Linked DNA regions of Styela clava. The main gene of each other region encodes a partner of the protein of the gene in region 2 in a complex. Links are inferred from orthologs where the notes say so. Each region holds a gene or a part of one and is shown on either strand. Other genes may lie near its edges. The genes, in order: RNA polymerase II subunit A C-terminal domain phosphatase SSU72-like and symplekin-like.

What was found.
Region 1: the proteins of symplekin-like (region 2) and RNA polymerase II subunit A C-terminal domain phosphatase SSU72-like are in contact, whole or in part, in a crystal structure (PDB 4YGX), measured with the Drosophila melanogaster proteins. The link is inferred for Styela clava from reciprocal best matches to the Drosophila melanogaster genes Sym and Ssu72. Residues at the interface, in NP_649580.1 of Drosophila melanogaster: Glu91, Ala117, Lys121, Gln125, Gly128, Ser129, Glu169, Asn170, Asp171, Gly172, Thr175, Asn176, Lys179, Phe180, Arg198, Ser240, Ser241, Val242, Ile245, Ala246, Ser249, Thr281, Ser283, Gln284, Ser286, Ser287, Lys290, Met294, Gln295; in NP_001285455.1 of Drosophila melanogaster: Glu114, Tyr117, Asp118, Val121, Met122, Glu125, Glu128, Ser129, Val130, Asp131, Asn132, Arg133, Pro134, Asp168, Asp170, Asn171, Asp174, Gln178, Glu181, Val187, Ile188, Leu189, His190, Ser191, Val192, Phe194.

What each region holds. Positions count from the first base shown.
Region 1 is NC_135256.1:18,814,107-18,822,954, forward strand, and holds the start of RNA polymerase II subunit A C-terminal domain phosphatase SSU72-like, read right to left. Parts: upstream 3,453-8,848; 5' UTR 3,398-3,452; coding exon 3,321-3,397; intron 2,681-3,320; coding exon 2,537-2,680; intron 2,516-2,536; exon of another isoform or gene 2,070-2,515; intron 985-2,069; exon of another isoform or gene 1-984.
Region 2 is NC_135263.1:4,743,200-4,752,232, forward strand, and holds the start of symplekin-like, read left to right. Parts: upstream 1-5,769; 5' UTR 5,770-5,825; coding exon 5,826-9,033. Other genes in the region: ribosome biogenesis regulatory protein homolog, read left to right, coding at 480-588; spartin-like, read right to left, coding at 2,086-3,690. UniProt on the Drosophila melanogaster protein: Component of a protein complex required for cotranscriptional processing of 3'-ends of polyadenylated and histone pre-mRNA. Involved in germline stem cell transit amplification, differentiation and mitosis-to-meiosis transition.

The DNA.
Region 1 (8,848 bases), on a different chromosome or scaffold from region 2:
AAAAAGCTAAACGATATCCTACATATAAAGTATTAGCCTGGTATTTTCAGCATGATGTATCCATCAACGGGCGCAAACTTATCCATCTCTCATGGGTGAGATGAAGGCACAGAAAAACAGATCCCATACAAGACTACCTTTGGCCCAAATAATAAGTATTCGAATGAGTGACATATGAAATAATTGTGCGCATGGATGTTACGAGACTTGAAATGTATTGAAGTTACATCTTTGTATTACATTTTTTACTTTCATATACTGAGCAGTCTTTGAAACTTGTAAAAATGATCATATCCTTGCTATTAAATCTCTCCTACGACAAAGGGTTCCAATCTTCACTAATCATTAAGGAATAGCTCAGCAGATTTTCAGATAAACTTGAATATTAAGTTGCACGAACATGATTATGAACGTCCCCAAAGACGACTCAAGATACAGATACACTTTTATCGTATTGACTATGTGTTTAAATTCTGATTATTTAGCCATATAAAATAATCATGGTCATATATTTGGCCAATTTTCGCTCGTTTCCCATGCGGATAAAACTAAAGGTTAATTTTTAATTTAGTTTTAATCAGACGTTAGGACTACGATCAAGGTTTTGGTTTTGGGAAATCAAAGATGGATAATGTGCTTTGAATGACTGGAAACCACGGTCTTACCACATATCCTAGTCAAAAATAACATTTTATTTACGAAGTATGATTCCGAGAAAGCGATGCTTGCAGTACGACCTATTCGGCTATTCCTCAATACAAATAACTCTGCCTCAATCATAAAAAAAGCGATTTCGTTGGTCAGAGTTGGTTGGCCGAACCTTCAGCTGTCAATGCTATAATAATTTCAACAAGGCCTACAACTGGTCTAAGAAATCTAGTCAGGCTAATCTATAAACCACAATTTTGTTGAATAGCTAGATGACAAACAATGCTGCAGTATGGTTCCATCAAGTGAGTACAAATTCTTTGTCAGGTTTATGATCTGAAAAAAAGGATGCAGATAACAATGACATGTAAAGCAGTGAGCTGAGTAAAGCAGACCAAAACAAGTTCTCGTACAATATACCCTAATAAAACAGAACCCAGGTCATTTGGAACATATTCTAAATTAGTGTTTCCCCGGCACATGGGTGTGACCTAAAACTGGGGCGCCTAAAAATCCTGGGCACCTTGTTTTTTCAACAGTCAGTAGTCAGTTGTTGATTTTATTTTCCAGTGGATTTTAGGTATCACAGCATGAAAACTTGGCAACATCTATTTTGTTTATTAAGTGCCATGATTTCAAAAACCTGCCCATTGCAAACAAGCAATTTTCTCACTTTTCTGTAGTTTCTGGGCAATAAATGTCAAATGATCCTCTTATATTTGTCACTAATTTTGCGGCCATGAAAACAATACATGTCGTTTAGTATGTGAGAATATCCTTGAGTAGCAAGATTTCACCAAATTTATTTATTTCTTCAAATTTGAGTGGACTGAAAAAAGGTTGGGAACCACTGTTCTAGACAAGAGAAGACTTATCCTATAAAATAATATCCTCCATGACAAAAAAATAGGTCATTGGGAACATGGTCTAACGAGAACATATCTTTTGTACCAAGCGTCACAGATTACTGAAAATTTTGGGTTTATTCATATACAAACATAAATTCAAGTGTTGAGGTGTTAAATAAATTTTCGTAAATTTGAAACATTTATGGGTCGCTTTTTTCAGGTTACCAAAGATTTATCTTGATAAAATAATAAGGTGTTAGTTATCCATGACCAAAAATATATCCACTTCGACAATATTGGGCTCTCCACAATATGATTAGAACGAGACCAGAATCAAATTCAATGCCAAAAAAATACTAAATGAACGCACCAGTCTTTGCATAACAATAGATTTCAACATACATCAGGATGTAGCGAGTGTATGAACAACAAAACATGGAATAGCGATGTTCAAACGTATATATATACCAAAAAGATATACCGGTATATGATATAAAAGACTAATATGAATTTCTAAATTTGATAACAAGAGCAAAATCATGAAATGTCTTTGTACAAATAACAGATACTTACCTATACAAAACTATATAATTCAAGCAGAAAGTTCTAATTCAATTCGCCAAGGGCTTCCATCACATATCAATGTCACGTGGATAGTAACCGCTTCTAGTAGTAGTTCTCGTGCAAGATATTCTCTATCTGATATTCGCCAAGATTACAAAGAACACATCTGAATTGAAATGATAAAATTTGTAACAATTATTGATAAACAATTGTAGCATATATTTTTTTTAAAACGGCAAAACAAAAACACTCAACATTCATAAATAAACATGTAAAAAGTGAAAATAAAATACTCCAATAACATAATTAAAAAATCTTCAAAAATAAGGAAGAAATTTAACATTATGTTATTGTGTACTTCTACGAGCATTTTTGTTATACACAATCCTTCCTGATATATCTGATAAAAACTCTGGATTCTCCGATTGTTACAGCCATAATGTGCAGAGTTGATAATATTTTAAATAAAAGGATACAGGTTGAAATCTTTGTTTGCTAATTCTTTATAGATATCGTCATATCTTGTGTCAAATGGGTAGACGTTAGGTTTGTCTGCTGAAGGTCCTGGAAGTTTCACTTGGTTACCAGTGCCGAACGACTGCACATTGAATCCCTTTTTTCTGTTAACAAGATAATATAGTTCCTTGGTTTCTTCAAATCAATAAATAAAAATATTCGCATCATTGAGATGCTTTGTGTGGTGTACTGGCGTCACATCTAGATTTATGAGTTCAAGTAATAAATAAATTTTCTTCAATTTGTAAGTTCTGTTTGATTGATTCAACCAACGTTTAGTTTCTGGGTTACAGAATTGCTTGAAGGATAATCTAAAGTTGGTCGCTAGAAAAGCAGACAATTTGAAGGTCAGATGACATCACGAAGAAAAGTATAGGTGTGGGTTGAATTGGAATGATATCCCACAAGGTAACCTTCAAAAAGCTGCACGAGCTCGGATTTCTAGGTTAAGAGTCTTAACTTAAGACACTTTTCTGGAGTGCACGGGCAACATTTTGAGCATCCATGGGTGGAATATAACATACGGTAGGTCTTTAAAAAACTTGGTAAAAGTTATTCTTTGCAAAAATAAAAGCTGTTGACACATTTTATGGTTAGTGATCACCCTGTATATTGGTGCTGCTGTGATCGACTAACAGTGGACATGACAATATAAAATATATATAATAATACGCTGCTAGTTTGAAAATGTAGATAGAACAATATTTAGAAGTTGGTTCAAAGACTATAACCAGGAATTCATACTTCATAAATCTGTGTGCTTCCATACTTCTGTTCATATTACTTGAACATACTACAGCAAACTTCAACTTTGATGACATTTTTGTTATGTTTCTTCAGTGATCACAATGTAAAATTAGGACAATTATATATAATCTGTTGAAAATAAAAAATACTGCATCATTTAGATTTATTTGGTACAGAATAGTTTGAAATTGATGGAAACAAAATGGGAAAAATTATAATCTGAAAGCCCTGACTTGCCAATCATCTGTTTGAATTAAACATCACAAACTATTCTATTGTGAGAGATATAAAAACAAATGTTTTTGAGGCTGCATAGGAAACAAGACAATATTATAAACAGAGCAGTTAGAGGTCAATCTGAACAAAATTTTGTGTACCAATTGTAGTATGACCAGAATGACATTTAGCATATACAAGTATCTATGAGTGAGCTGATGTATAACACTCAAGGTCTAGGTGATCGATTTGGAGGGTTAAAGTATACAAGAGCGTTGGAAAGAATGCATCAACTTGAAACTTATTGGTTATACTTATGGATTGCTATTGAATAGATCTACTGGTATTTTAGGATGAGCGAAATTCTACAAAATTAGGTACAGTATAATAAAGTAAAAATCGTATACAAAAATTAAGTTCAATAATTCTGAATCTTCATTCAAGATAGTCTATATCTTCACTTGTACCTGTAAAATGCCAATACAATCATATCGCAAATTTATTTATATTTTGGCCATTGTCTACATCGTCCAAATAAATTGCCTGTGTGAAAAATGATACCCCAATCCAATAATGAATTTTTTGACATTATCAAAATAGTCATATAATGAAAAAGAATTGTGCTTAAGTTAATAATATGGTATTTATTAAGTTTTCTTTTTTTCTATGACTAAAAAGCTACGGTACCGGTACCCTGGTACCAGGTATTATCCCAATTTGACCAGATCATTGTTATATTAATCAATTTTTTTGATTCAGGGAAACTTTTACAAATAATTTTATGCAAATTCTACCATAAAAACTTTCCACTCACTACAGCACTAAGAAAGTGAAAAACCAAAACAAAAATAATGTGGCAAGAAAGTGTATATACAGATATCTGGATATATATGCACCATTCAGTCATAGCTCCGTACTAGGCTAGTACAGTAGTACGGTACAGTAATAGTACAGAACACTGTTCAGAGAACAGTACGTACCGGTACCGGGTAACGGTATACCGTACTGGTATACCGGTACCAGTACGGTATACAGTTTCCATCACCGGTTTTCTTGAATTTTGCCTTGTTTCCTTTTTTTGAAGAAAAAACAACATGACCAGTCATCGGCAAAACTCACGGTGCTAGTACTCACAGACTTAATCCGAAGTCACAACGAAAAAAACCTAACGAATTATCGGCACTAGTACCGGTATCCCACAGTTGTCACAAAACAAATAAAACGCAATGACAGAATTAGTTTCTATCAATGTCGACAGAGGGCCAAAATGGAATTGTGGGTAGCCTAACAAACTAACTATTTTTGCTCTCGGGCACAGGAGGTGATAACATCCACAAGAGGTCTGTAGAAAGCCTTAAAATATGTATACCGTAAGCTCTCATATAAATTAAAAATATTATTCAGGTATTCTTAACACAAAGCACCAAACGTGACCATCGAGACAAACTCTATTTTCTAAATTCCAACGGCAGATGGATGGACATGGAAGTCATCATACAAGAATAAAATATCAATCACACAATAAAACGCATATACACCAGGAAACAAAATTCTTAATAAAAAAAAGAAACAAACCTAATCATGGCCAATGAGAATATAAACGAATAGGTCGTGTCAAAGTCTGTAAAGAGCCTGAAAAACGGATTCGTTCGAATAATACAAAAACAAAATTACAAAGTAGAGAATTACGAGATTTTCAAATGCCGGTATACGGAATATGAAAACAGATATTCATTTGCTTTTAAATAACACATTTTCATTTGAAAAAAAAACTGCTAAACATAGATTATTCAAAATTGACCATATCAACTAGGTAAAAAAAATTTCGCGCTATTGAATAGTTCTCATTTTGAGGGGAGGGCTTATATTAAAATCACTTTTAAAAGTGAAAATTTGTCACCGCAGGTCGGCACTCACAGAATACGCTTAGGATTGCAGAGCATATGAACAGCTTTAAAACCAGGTTTGAATCTCGATAATTGGCTAGTTAAATATAGATGAAGTGCATAAGAGAGAGAGAGAGAGATTTATTTCGTCAACCAGAAAAAAACAGTCATAATAATAAATAAATAATGGCTATAAAAAAGTACGCTTTTTTCGGTATAGACTGGAAGGAGCGATACGACCATGCGGTCATCGAAGTCAGCCCCCTCCAAGTTTACGCTGATAAATTCACAGTAAAATATGATTATTAGAAATGGTTGAAGTTCACGACACAAAATTTGAAAAAACAAACAAACAAAAATGAAGTAAATAAAAGTAATTAATTTTTTTCCGTGAAATCAATTTTTGAATGATGAGTTTTGTAAAATGAAACAGTTTGGGCAGATTTTCAACTATTACACTATTATTTGAAAGTGAGGAGTAAGACCCACAAATAAAAAAAACAATTTTGGCTATTGGACTACTATACTCAATGTAGATTTGGACACATAACAATTGTTCGAATCAGCAAGGGGCCAGCCTTACATGTACGAATGAATTTCAGGAGATAAACAACATGGTCCTCATGTAAAACAATTGTTTCAAGAGAGGAATCAACCTTCCAACGAGAAATCGGTCAGAGACCGAGGAATTATCGATCAAAAGACAGGGGATCCCCCAAAAAAGCGCTCTTACTCCATAGTGACAACTTGTGTCCCATCACTTATTGATTAATAACTCGCTAATTATACGATATACTTCGCCCAAAATCAATAGGTTTCTGGTCCGAGATATGATGAAAGCACATGAAAAATCTGGAACAGATTCAATCTCGTTTTCGTGAGATATCGCGTGCATCTAACAGACAGACAGACAGACAAATACCTATCAACATACTTACCGATAAAAATCGATAAGTAACAAGAAAATTTTTTGGCAAATAGGTGACTGAAAAATTATTATATACCCAAATTAAGAAACAATTTTGGTAAACATACGATCGATAGTCATATATATAAATACAATTTAGGTTGAATAACTATTATTAGTAAGCCTTTCAAACAAGACAACAACTGTGGCCTATTAAAAACTTAAACCCAATATTTAAATAGGTAAACGATGACTATTATTTGGAGCAGCAATAAATCAGCCTGACAAATAAAAGGCAGTTTCTGCAAATATACAAGTAGCCCTCATATATAAGTATAAGTGTTGAAGATTTAACATTAAAAGTGAACAATGAAATATTTGCGAGCAAGAATCAGATTGTGAGCTAGCGAAATAAAGTCTACCAAAGCATGTCGGGTATTTTGGGATAAGGCAAACACGCCATACGTGCCCCAGTATGCATTGTGTGAATTCTAACGTAAATCAGAACTTTACTGGTATTTAAGTTTGCGACCCGCCATGATTTTACTCGTGGGAAGCGGGCTCGCGAACATAAAAAGGTTGGGCAGGCCTGCGTAGGAAAAATATTTCAATACTTCTAATCATAGCAAAAAGTTTGACTATATTGAGAGTGCCATCTTAGGTTGCGTATACAATCTGGTTCTCGCATGTTCGAAACATCATATGGGAATTACCCTTAGCCAATTTTATCCTAGTATTAAATTTTATATATATGCGGCCCGCGTCGTGTTTGAGATTTCTCCAGTAAAAAAACTAAAATAGTATGATGTCAACTATGGGTTTTATCGTGTTATTTAACATCAAGAGTCCGATACAACAAACTGTTAAAAGTAAAACAAAAATTCCCCCCGTTATTCCACTTTACCACGTTCATATTTTGTTCTATTGTAATAATCAAATTGTAAATTCAACCATTCTATTCCGCGTTTTTATTATGACGAAATAAACAAGTTTCGGTCAGATCATGGAAGTGTGCAGTTGTGAATCATTATTTGATTACGAATCACAAATTATGTGCAGTTAACGCCAAACTAGATTATTATGAACTTATGAATCATTACAAAGGGAAAAATACCATGTTTATACTGAAACAATTTCTCACGAAAAGGTAACGGAAATAAAATTTTCACTGATGAAACAAAGAATTTTTTTTCAGACACAAACAAAACTTGTGAAGATTCGATGAAAGCAAGCTTTGCCATGAGTGAGATGATTGCAAAATCGTCGCGTCCTTTCGTTGAGGGAAGCTTTATTAAAAAGTGTATGTTGAAGGCTTGTGAAATGATTTTTTAACAATGAGTGTTAACAAATCAGCCTTTTGCACACGACTAACAGACGAGAGTTTTTATGCTGTCTAAAGACCAGCAAACTAACGCAAAATCAGGCCAACCATCGAGTCTCACCGCTACAAAACGGTGCCAAATATCCAACACAAGTAAACGAATATGTTTCATGTCTCGCTTGGTGTAAGATTCAAGGGTAATCTAACAAATATATTCAGATTTACTTAGTTAATTTTTGTATATAATTTCTTAGCCGCGTCGTCAATAAATTTCATAAAATGGCCCGCGACATATTTTGAGTTGGAGACCCCTGCCTTAAGAGGACCTAGTCGATAGCAAGAAATTTCTCCTACACGTTTTAAATGATTAATCTAAAGCGTGAGAGAGGGAAAGGTTCAATTACCTGAAATAACGTGAAATTACACCACGATTCATATTTTGTATATTTAAAAATCTCGTAATTCTCCACTTTGTAATTTTGTTTTTGATAAATGAAAATTAAAGACATCCCCCAAAATAAGCCCTAGTGATATTTAAAAAAAAAAGGAAAAAAGACCCTGTCTTATTTTCGAGAAAACGCGGTAGCTAGTTTGATACAAAAAAGTAAGTATCAGTGTGGTAAAAAAAAGGAACATTTTTGAATCTGTTGTAAAAAGCCTCCCCCCACCAATGCAAATATGCGAAAGTTCGAAAAAACATCCCTGTTACGTTTTAAAATAAATAAAAAAACAAGTACAGATAGTCTAGTCCAGCGGTTCCCAACCTTTCTACCCTGGCGGATCGGTGAAATTAAATAAAATGTACTCGCCGACCGGCAAAATTAAAATAAGTGAAACAGAAAATAATAACATATATTTGCGTAATATAGTGCAATGTCGGGCACTCACTATGCTTCTAGAAAAAAAAAAGGATAACTAAAAAACATTTCACATGAAGAAAAAACTATCAAATAACGTGCTGGCCAAAATTGAAATCGGTGTAATAAAATAATAACATAAATTTGCGTAATAAAGTGCAGTGCTGGTCACCCATTGTGCGTAGAAAGAGCACACAGAAAACATCTCACATAATAAAACATGTACATGCCAAATCATGTACTGTAGTGAGAATTTTGCTGCTGCTGTTTTGTTCAAAGGGTTCATCAAAAAAGGACATCAAAAAAGGGTTTTGCAACACGTAGGTCTGCAGCGGTTC
Region 2 (9,033 bases):
GCCTTATACCTACTCCTCCATAGTTGTCTCTTATGTGAGCCATTGTGGAAGTTTTTGCCTGACACCGACGGTTCGCAAGGGATGTTCAAAATATATAAAATTGAAGGTGAACATAAATCCATCAAGATCTTGTCAACGGGAAGTAATGTGAGCAATTAATAAAGTGGCAAAATTTAGGTTAAAACAAACAGGAAAAAATATGAATGTTTCGCTTGCTGACACTCCTATCTTTGACTTAAAATTGTTGGTGGTGGTTAAAGGTAAAAGCGGTAAAAACATGCTCAACAAGAACTGCACAATGGGGGTTGGTTGTGACATTACTTTGTATTTAATTCGGTTATATGAAAGTATAATTTATCAAAGTACCTCTGGTTCAACTGTGCACATCTTTGCTCTATTCAATGATTATTAAACCCTGCTGGTGGGCTGGCATTTGTTTATCCACTCTGATCTTATGACACCATTCATTTCAATTTCAGTCGTGAGAGCGATAAACCGAAGGGCCAAAGAAAAGGTGGCAAAAATCAAAGAGGGAATAAGAAATTCAATAAAAGAACTGGTGGGAAACCAAAGACAGTAAAAACTTAAATGAGAAAATGGTTGTAATGAAGACTGGTGAATTATTCAATGCAGCTTGGTATCAAAAGTGGATCCGGGCGTCATGGAGCTCTTGATTTCTAGGGCCCTGTGGTGGTCATTATTTGTGGTAGAATTCCAAAAAAGTGGTCGCACCTTGAGCATGTATTCTGCCCTCGTACATTTGTACACATTATCTGTTAAAGATGACTGCCAGCGGCTAAATTTGAATTAGTGTCTTATGTGCTATTATTTTTGTTCAAGTTTGCTCAAAGTTAGGTTTCTGGCCCTAAATATAAAATTAGGAAGAGTAGGCTACTAATGATAGAACTGCTGATGTACCAAAGCTGTGCATAGGTTATGTGTAGTTTTTTAACCTATTTTTATCTGCTATTATTTATTTTACAATTTTGCTCAAAGCTAGGTTTCAGGCATTCAATCGCTCTTGTCTCAGTAAATATAAGAGATTGATATTCCAAAATGAGCAAATAAATGAATTCATCTTTTCCCCTCCGGTATTCGAAAAACATTATTCGCCTTTTAATTCTACCACTTCTGCTATTAAATAAATTACAAAAAAATCTCAATCATGATATATTTTTTCAAACACAAGAACAGTTATCAGATAAATATTTATTTTGAAAACTTACAAATCTGAAATAGGGCATTATGTCACATATATGGGCGCTCCAGAAGTGTGTGTACATACCAATATGAAGTTTACATCAAGTTGTGTGTAGGTACTGAAAGCTATGGGGTATGTTTACTAAGGAAAATCTGAATAAAATTATGGCCTAACCCAATACACACACTACAGGAGTACCCATATACGACCCCATTGATAATGAGCCAGAGATTCGGAGTGACTCGGTGAAATGTCTCTTTAAATATTTGATTTGAAGGTTGGCTCATTCCCCAATAACGTTTCATTTATAACATAAGTATAAAGTATTTATTTGAAGAGATTGCTAATTATAATAGGGTTTAATTTCAACAGTCTTTATGTTGCAATTGCAAAACAATACAGATAAGATTTTATAAAAAAAATAATTGCAGTAACACCCATATATATATATATAAGTGCAAAAAGGATATAATAGCCATTATATTTCATACTTTACTGTAACTGACGAAAATGGAACCTCTTCGGAACTGATTAATCATCTGGTAAGGCAAGATCGTGGTTAAACCGACTGCTAAGGTTGATATAGCGGAGCGTAGTTTATAAATTGGCTTAGTAGCAATAACTTCTTGAGCAAGGCCGTAAATACATTCCAAACCCTAGAATACACAATTCTCTGTTTGGGTTTGCTCTTTGATTCAGAATAATTGTAGAGTAAGCTTCTACATTTTGAAGATTTCATTGCGGCTTATCAATTTATCGAATGTTTTGGGTAAACTTGAAATATAGATAAAATATTGAGAATTGAGGACATTATTGTGATGTGCTAGGCCGACATCAATTTACCCTGATAAATGTGATTGAACAGAAACAAACACTTGAGCATATCAGATATTTCTGAAACTGTCTGGTTGCTGATCATCTTTAAAACTGTTATGAAAAGAAACCGTTTCATTTGCAGATTTATATTCAACTCTTTGTTCATCGCAACTCGCTGCTATATCAGCTATAACCTTAGTGCCCAAGTTATCAAGTGCAAATGCCGTAGCTCCAAGATTCACTGCGGCCCCCATGGCTAGATTTGTGGCTTCCGCTGCATCTGGTCCATATTTATATTCCATATTCTTAACTGTTGCTGTGGTAACGGCTTGGGCAATAGTTGAGCCGGCTTTTTCCAGTTCTGTCCAGATTTTACCGAATCCTGCAAGCCCCGATTTCACCACTTTTATCGCACCGTACACATTAGTGCTCGTATTTTCTGGGCTATCTTCTATTGCCTTCGTGAAATATGGGGCAACTTGTTGACCAACTGAAGTTGTGACCGAACATAACCACTGAATCAACCAATTTTTTACCCGGACTGTGGTATCAGCTGCATTGTATGTATATTCAAGGCCTCTTTTGATATATGGATTGACCGTTACTTTCCCTTCTGCTGGGGTCAACTTTGCTTTAATATTGTTTGCACTGCTTTCAACTAAATTGGTAGCATAGTCTGTCCCATTTCGGACATGTTGGGACAAAGCGGTCGCTCCATTTGTTACCGATGCTGCCATGCGGTCACTCATGCTTGGCGGAATGTAATCATCCGCTTCTGAAAATGCTCCTATAAATTCTGATAAATCAACAAATCCTTCGTCTGGATTTTCAATTTGAAAAGCAGCATAAGTTTGAAGAATATTCTCGAACATTTCCACATACTCTCTCGACACATTGCTCGAAATTACGACCCCTATTGCGTACCCTTCTTGAATTCCATCTTCTGTGCACTTGGGGAACATATAGGCACCGTTCGCAGATTTCAAAACCGGCATCTGGTTATTTGCGAGTGGATACACCCAGTCTCCGACTTGAAGTATAGCTTGAGGTCCTCCTGGTGTTACAGAATCTTCCTTCAATAATACAATTTGTAAGGATGCTGGGTAAGACGGAGGCATTGATTCTACTTGGCTCTCTGCTGAGACAAAATATATTTGTGCGCCACTCTCTATAGATAAAAGTGGATCGGCCATAATGTCACTATCGTGGAATTGGGGACCAGACTGAGATGAAAGTGGGTCGTGTAGAGAATATGAAGGCGGGCTTTCGGGCTGTGGAACATCGTGATTAACTGGTTCATCAAAAGATTGTAAATGATAAATTCTCTGTCTTATATTAGCTATGGTTGATATGATCTGTTCTTGCATCTGCCTGGCTTGTTCCCATCCTGCACTGGATTGTTCAAAATCGTGGATATTGTGTCTCAAACCATTCTCACTATGTCTCAAAGCCTGAAGATAGAGTGCCATAGCGTCTGCGTTGTTGTTTGCATCATCTTGTGCCAAAGCCTGCGAAGCTAGAGACACTGATTTAGCATGGCATGATCTGATTTCGTTGAGTATTTCGTCAAAGGCTGGAGGTGCTGACGGTCGAATTACTTGCTGTGCCATGGCTTTATAGTTTGAAAAATATACTGTCACCCCGATATACCAAGTTACTGCCAAATTACCCATTCATCGGGTTTTATTGCGCCTACTTCTGCCCGATATACGTGGCCTAAAGCCCGCTATATCATTTCCCGGTAATTCACCTGCATGTAAAATGAGTCTTAAAAAGGGGATTTCCCTTTGAATCTTGTGATCTCTGAAAATGACATCACCATTCGTCAAGCGTCACAGCTATGAGCCTATGATTCAGCTTTCAAAGCTTTGTTTAGGCTGCAAACACCATCGAGATGTCATCCACAAAAAATCTGCATATCGATAAATAAATTAATGGACATAAACGAGGAAAAGTCAAGAATGAAAAGAGCAGACCAAACCAATCAAGAACTTGAAATGAAAAATTGAAAATTTTTATCTGAATCATTTAAATTTTTAGACCAATATATCACATTTTTTTTTTATATCAAACTCATATGAATCTAACACAATTAGAAAACTTTAGTTGCTTGTTTTGATCATAAATCATGTACGGAGACCAGTTGACCTAGTTACAACCGCGAGATGTCAGACGTCAGCAATTTATTTTCTTCGTTCGAGTGTTGCCAGATTTTATGATCATTAATACATCAATATATATTTTTAAAACACATCTTGTACGAATAAAACAAAAAATGTTATTTCCAAGTGTGAAATTATTGTTAATAAAGGAATTTTGATTTAAAAAAAGTAATGCATGCGCTCTATTATCCACCGTATCTGCATTGATTTCAAATATTTGAGTGATTGTGGCAAAGGTTTATGTAGGTCGTAGAATGCAGTCGGTTTCAGTTCGGTCGGCGCCATTTTTTTTTCATAATTGAGGCGTTTATAAAAATATCTGAATTTCAATTGCCTATTATTTATTTATCGTTATTTAAAGGTATTTATTATTTTATTTATTCTTCAAAAATTGATCAATCCACACCAAGGAACTATAAAAAAAAATTTTTACGGAAATTATGAATTAATGTGGAATATTTTTCCCTCAAAAGTCAGATAGTGTATCTAGAATTAGATTTATTGCTGGAAATGACTTGTGTGTTATAGAAACAGAATTAGTATCACATTTGTTCATGAATTGTCCATTTGTAAAACAATACCGTAGGCCTAGGTATATGATTACCGTATGCAGGTAGGCTATGTTTCCTGATTATCGTGAAAATAACTGGCAGAAACAATTTAATTGATTATGAAACTTGTGTATTATTACATTTGAGTCCCCCTTATCATGCACATTTATTGAATGTAAAAAAAATGATATTATTTTGTTTAACGATAACGAACTCACTAACGCTAGCGATCTCTCACATATCGGGATCGTTACGCCGAGTAAAACAGCTTGCTCGATTTCGATTGATTGTCTGTGCGTCTTGGATGACAGTTAGTACTGTAGTATACCTCGGATGGCCTTATTACATTACTGTGGCATCGTAGTGCAGTAGTGAGTGATATTTTTTTGGCGGATTTTGCGGAATAAACACTGTAACTGCTTAAATAACGCCAAACAGTAGTACCATGCTCAATTATTATTTTTAAGATTAGTTATGCGAATAGTCAGCTGATAGTTTACATAGACTTCGGAAGTGAAATATATAACATATATTTTTGACATATTGTTTTGTTGAAATTTGTAGTTATGTATGTATGGTTATTACAGTAGGGCACACTTTCCAAATTCCAAGAATGTCCCGTTGGTTCAATAAAATAAACACTTCTATGTGTCTCAGAAACGAGGGGCATCGTGCTCAACGGCAGATGCATCTTATTGGGCCATGCTTGTCTCGATAATAATCTACATTATTCCTGGCCGTCACATGATCTAAATTCCCATTATTTGCTAAAAACTCTAAAATGTCATGGTGAAAAAAAAATTTTCTTTTAGTAAATCGGATTATATTTTCCTGAGGAACTCAATGATGACGTTTTCTAGCTACTTCGTAGTTTTTTGTGCAGCTTCATTTTACTATATTTTCACCTATTATTAGAGGTGACAATGTCCAGACGTCCTTTCCCTTGTTTATGGGATTCTTTGGGACGAGACAATGTCTCTCAATCTGTAAGGTGTGCTGTACTGTATAATGATACTAATCAAACCATTCACATTTCAGATCCGTTACCTAACATCCATATATTTGACCTAATATTAATTTATTCCCATCACCAATATGGGGAAACCCAAAAAAACTGGTACAAAATCGCAAAGGTCATCAAATTCCAAAGACCAAGATGATGAGTCAGCATCTTCTCATCAGTCAACATCAGAAAGAGTAATTGATCTGTTAAATCAGGCTTCTATGGCCTCAACGGACCCTGACAAAGTTAACAAACTCAAACAAGTTCAGGAATTAATTGTGAATAAAGAACCAGCATTACTGGATAGTTTTACTGATGAAGTTCTAGCATTCCAAGCTGATAGGTCGCATGACGTTAGAAAATTTGTTGTCGGATTCATGGAAGAGGCGTGCAAAAAAGATAATGAACTTCTCATGAAAGTAATGGCGAATTTAAATTTATTACTCGCTGATACCAATGCGAATGTCACTAAAAAACTCATTCAGTCTATGACACAGTTATTTAGAATTGTGATCTATTGGTTAACAAAGGGTAGTTTCATCTCTGACAGTCATAAAGCTTGTTGGAAAGTGACATGCAATATTCGAGATCATATTTACGAATTACTGGATTCTGTCAATGACGGAGTCCGAACCCAAACTGTCAAATTCGTTGAAAAAGTGATCTTGATTTTGTCAGAGATACAGCGAGGATCAGAGGTACCTAAGAAAACAGAACCTGCGTCTTCTATTGATGAGATTCCATTAAACCACGCATTACTAAAACGGGATGAACTAAAAGCAGACGGAGAAAAAGCTCTTCAGAAATTGTTGGGTTTTATTGCTAATCCTGCTATATCGAGCGTTAATCTTATGGCAGCCATGGGAACCTTATCAGCCATCGCAAAGCAAAGACCACAATTTATGGGAACGGTAGTACAAGCATTTGAAGCATTACATGCAAATTTACCACCAACACTGGCAAAAACTCAAGTCGCGAGCGTGAGAAAACATTTGAAAATGCAACTAATGAACATGTTACGGCTTTTTTCATCAACACAATATCATCCACAAATTACCAATCTACTTTATGACTTGGGTACGACATCATCTGAGATAGCAAAAAATATGCCGAAATTGTCACAACGCCAAAGTGCCGGTAGCTCGCGAAAACGTAGCCCGGATGAAGATAAAGGAGAGGGGAGTGGAAATAAAAAAATGAAAAAAGAGGTGAACGAATATGATGATGATGTTGAAATAGGACCTTCTACGAGCTCAGCACCTGCCCCTGTCCCATCAGAACCTGTGGTCAATCAACACAGTGTTGCTATTGATATCACAGCTAAACAGTTAGTCCCTTTATTATCACCAGAAAATGTCGCTAATTTAGTATTATTGAGCATGGTTATGTTGCCCGATAAAATGCCAGACGCGTTTCAAGCTTCATACACCCCTATTGAATCCGCGGGCACAGAGGATCAGATCAGTCATTTAGCGAGATTACTTTCTATACAAATGACAGCCATGGGTGTCGGATCTGGAGTGCAAAAAGCTGCTGAAATGGCGGCGGAAGAAGACGCAAAAAAGAGAGAAAAGAAGTTAGAAGAAGAAGGAAAACAGAAATTACAAATTCAAACTGTTATAGGAGGAACAACAAAACCAACACCAGTTCAAGAAGACACTGCTCAAGATAAATCGAAGAAAAATATCGAAGCAATGATATCATCTCAGACAGTCGTACCGAACCGTGGTTTGCCTCGCAGAATCCAGGGTTTTCGATTAGAAAGTATCACTACCCCTCTCGATTTAGACACAAAAGATAAAATCATCAAAAATGCAGTTTTGAGAGTCTTGAGATCAGAACAAGCTGCTAACGCTGCTGGAGTTCATGCCCAATGGTCAAAAATTTTAACCAGTCTTGTGGCACAGTTTGGTGGAGATCTTCATAGAGCTTTAGCAATGTTTATTTTAGAAGATATTAGGAATCGTTCTTCCCTTGCATTTGCATGGTTGTATGAAGAATTCAATATATATTTAGAAAACAGTCGTGGCTCGAATGACAAATCTGCACAAGAAAATTACGATGCCTGTCTGACAGGACTTTTACAAGGATTCAGAGAAAAACCAGAAACACGAGACAGTCTTTTCAATAAATTGGTAATGCAGGCACCTTTGTTAACTGATGGGGCGATAAAACAAGTCCGTTTGTATTGCGAAGATGAAAAAAGATCACAATCGGGAATTAAACTTGTTAAGGACTTATTGCATTACAGAATAACGAGAAAAATGCAGTTTCTTCGTTTATTACTTGATCTTTGCGTCAGTAAAAATGAAAGTACCCAAACCGAAGCTGTTGAATGTATAAAATCAATTTTCCTACAAATTGAATTACAGGATTTCATCCGAACATATGCTGTCACTCATCTTGAATATTTATCAAACTCCGCACCACCTTTGACCCTAGTCCCAGAGGGAACACCGGTAGATGCTAAATCAACATGGACGGAAACCCAAATGAAACAATGCATGACGTTATTTCTCGCTTTGCTACCGTTGGATCATAATTTAATCGAAACACTTGCCGAAGTTTATGTAAAAACAAGCGCAGATGTGAAACGAGTTGTCTTACGAATCCTTGATAAACCTGTGAGCCAAATGGGAATGGAATCGCCACAATTATTGCGCCTCGTTGAAGGATGTCCAAAAGGTGCGGAGACTCTTGTTACTAGAATGTTGCATATACTTACAGACAAGACCCACCCAACTGTAGAACTGGTGCAGCGTGTCACAGACTTGTATGCAAAACGCGTCCCTGATGTACGTTTCCTTATACCAGTCTTGAACGGTCTCGAAAAGAATGAAGTTTTAAAAGCTCTTCCGAAGCTTGTTCGATTGAATCCTCCGGTGGTGAAAGGAGTATTTAATCGATTGCTTGGAGTCAATAGAGGACAACAATCCGAACCATCTGTGAGTTCTCTGTCACCTGTGGAGTTACTGATCGCACTTCATAATATGGATTCAAATACTGCTGATGTGAAAAGTGTAATAAAAGCTACAAGTTTATGTTTTGCTGAAAAAGCAGTTTACACATCGGAAGTTTTGGTTACTGTTATCAACCACTTGGTGGAGCAAGCAGAAATTCCGACTCTGTTAATGAGAACGGTAATTCAGTCCTTGATCACTTATCCACGTTTATCAGGTTTTGTTATGAATGTTCTTCAAAGATTAATTTTAAAAAAGGTTTGGGAACAAGAAAAAGTATGGGATGGATTCATAAGATGTTGTCAGCGTATGAAACCCCAGTCGTTTCAAGTGTTACTAC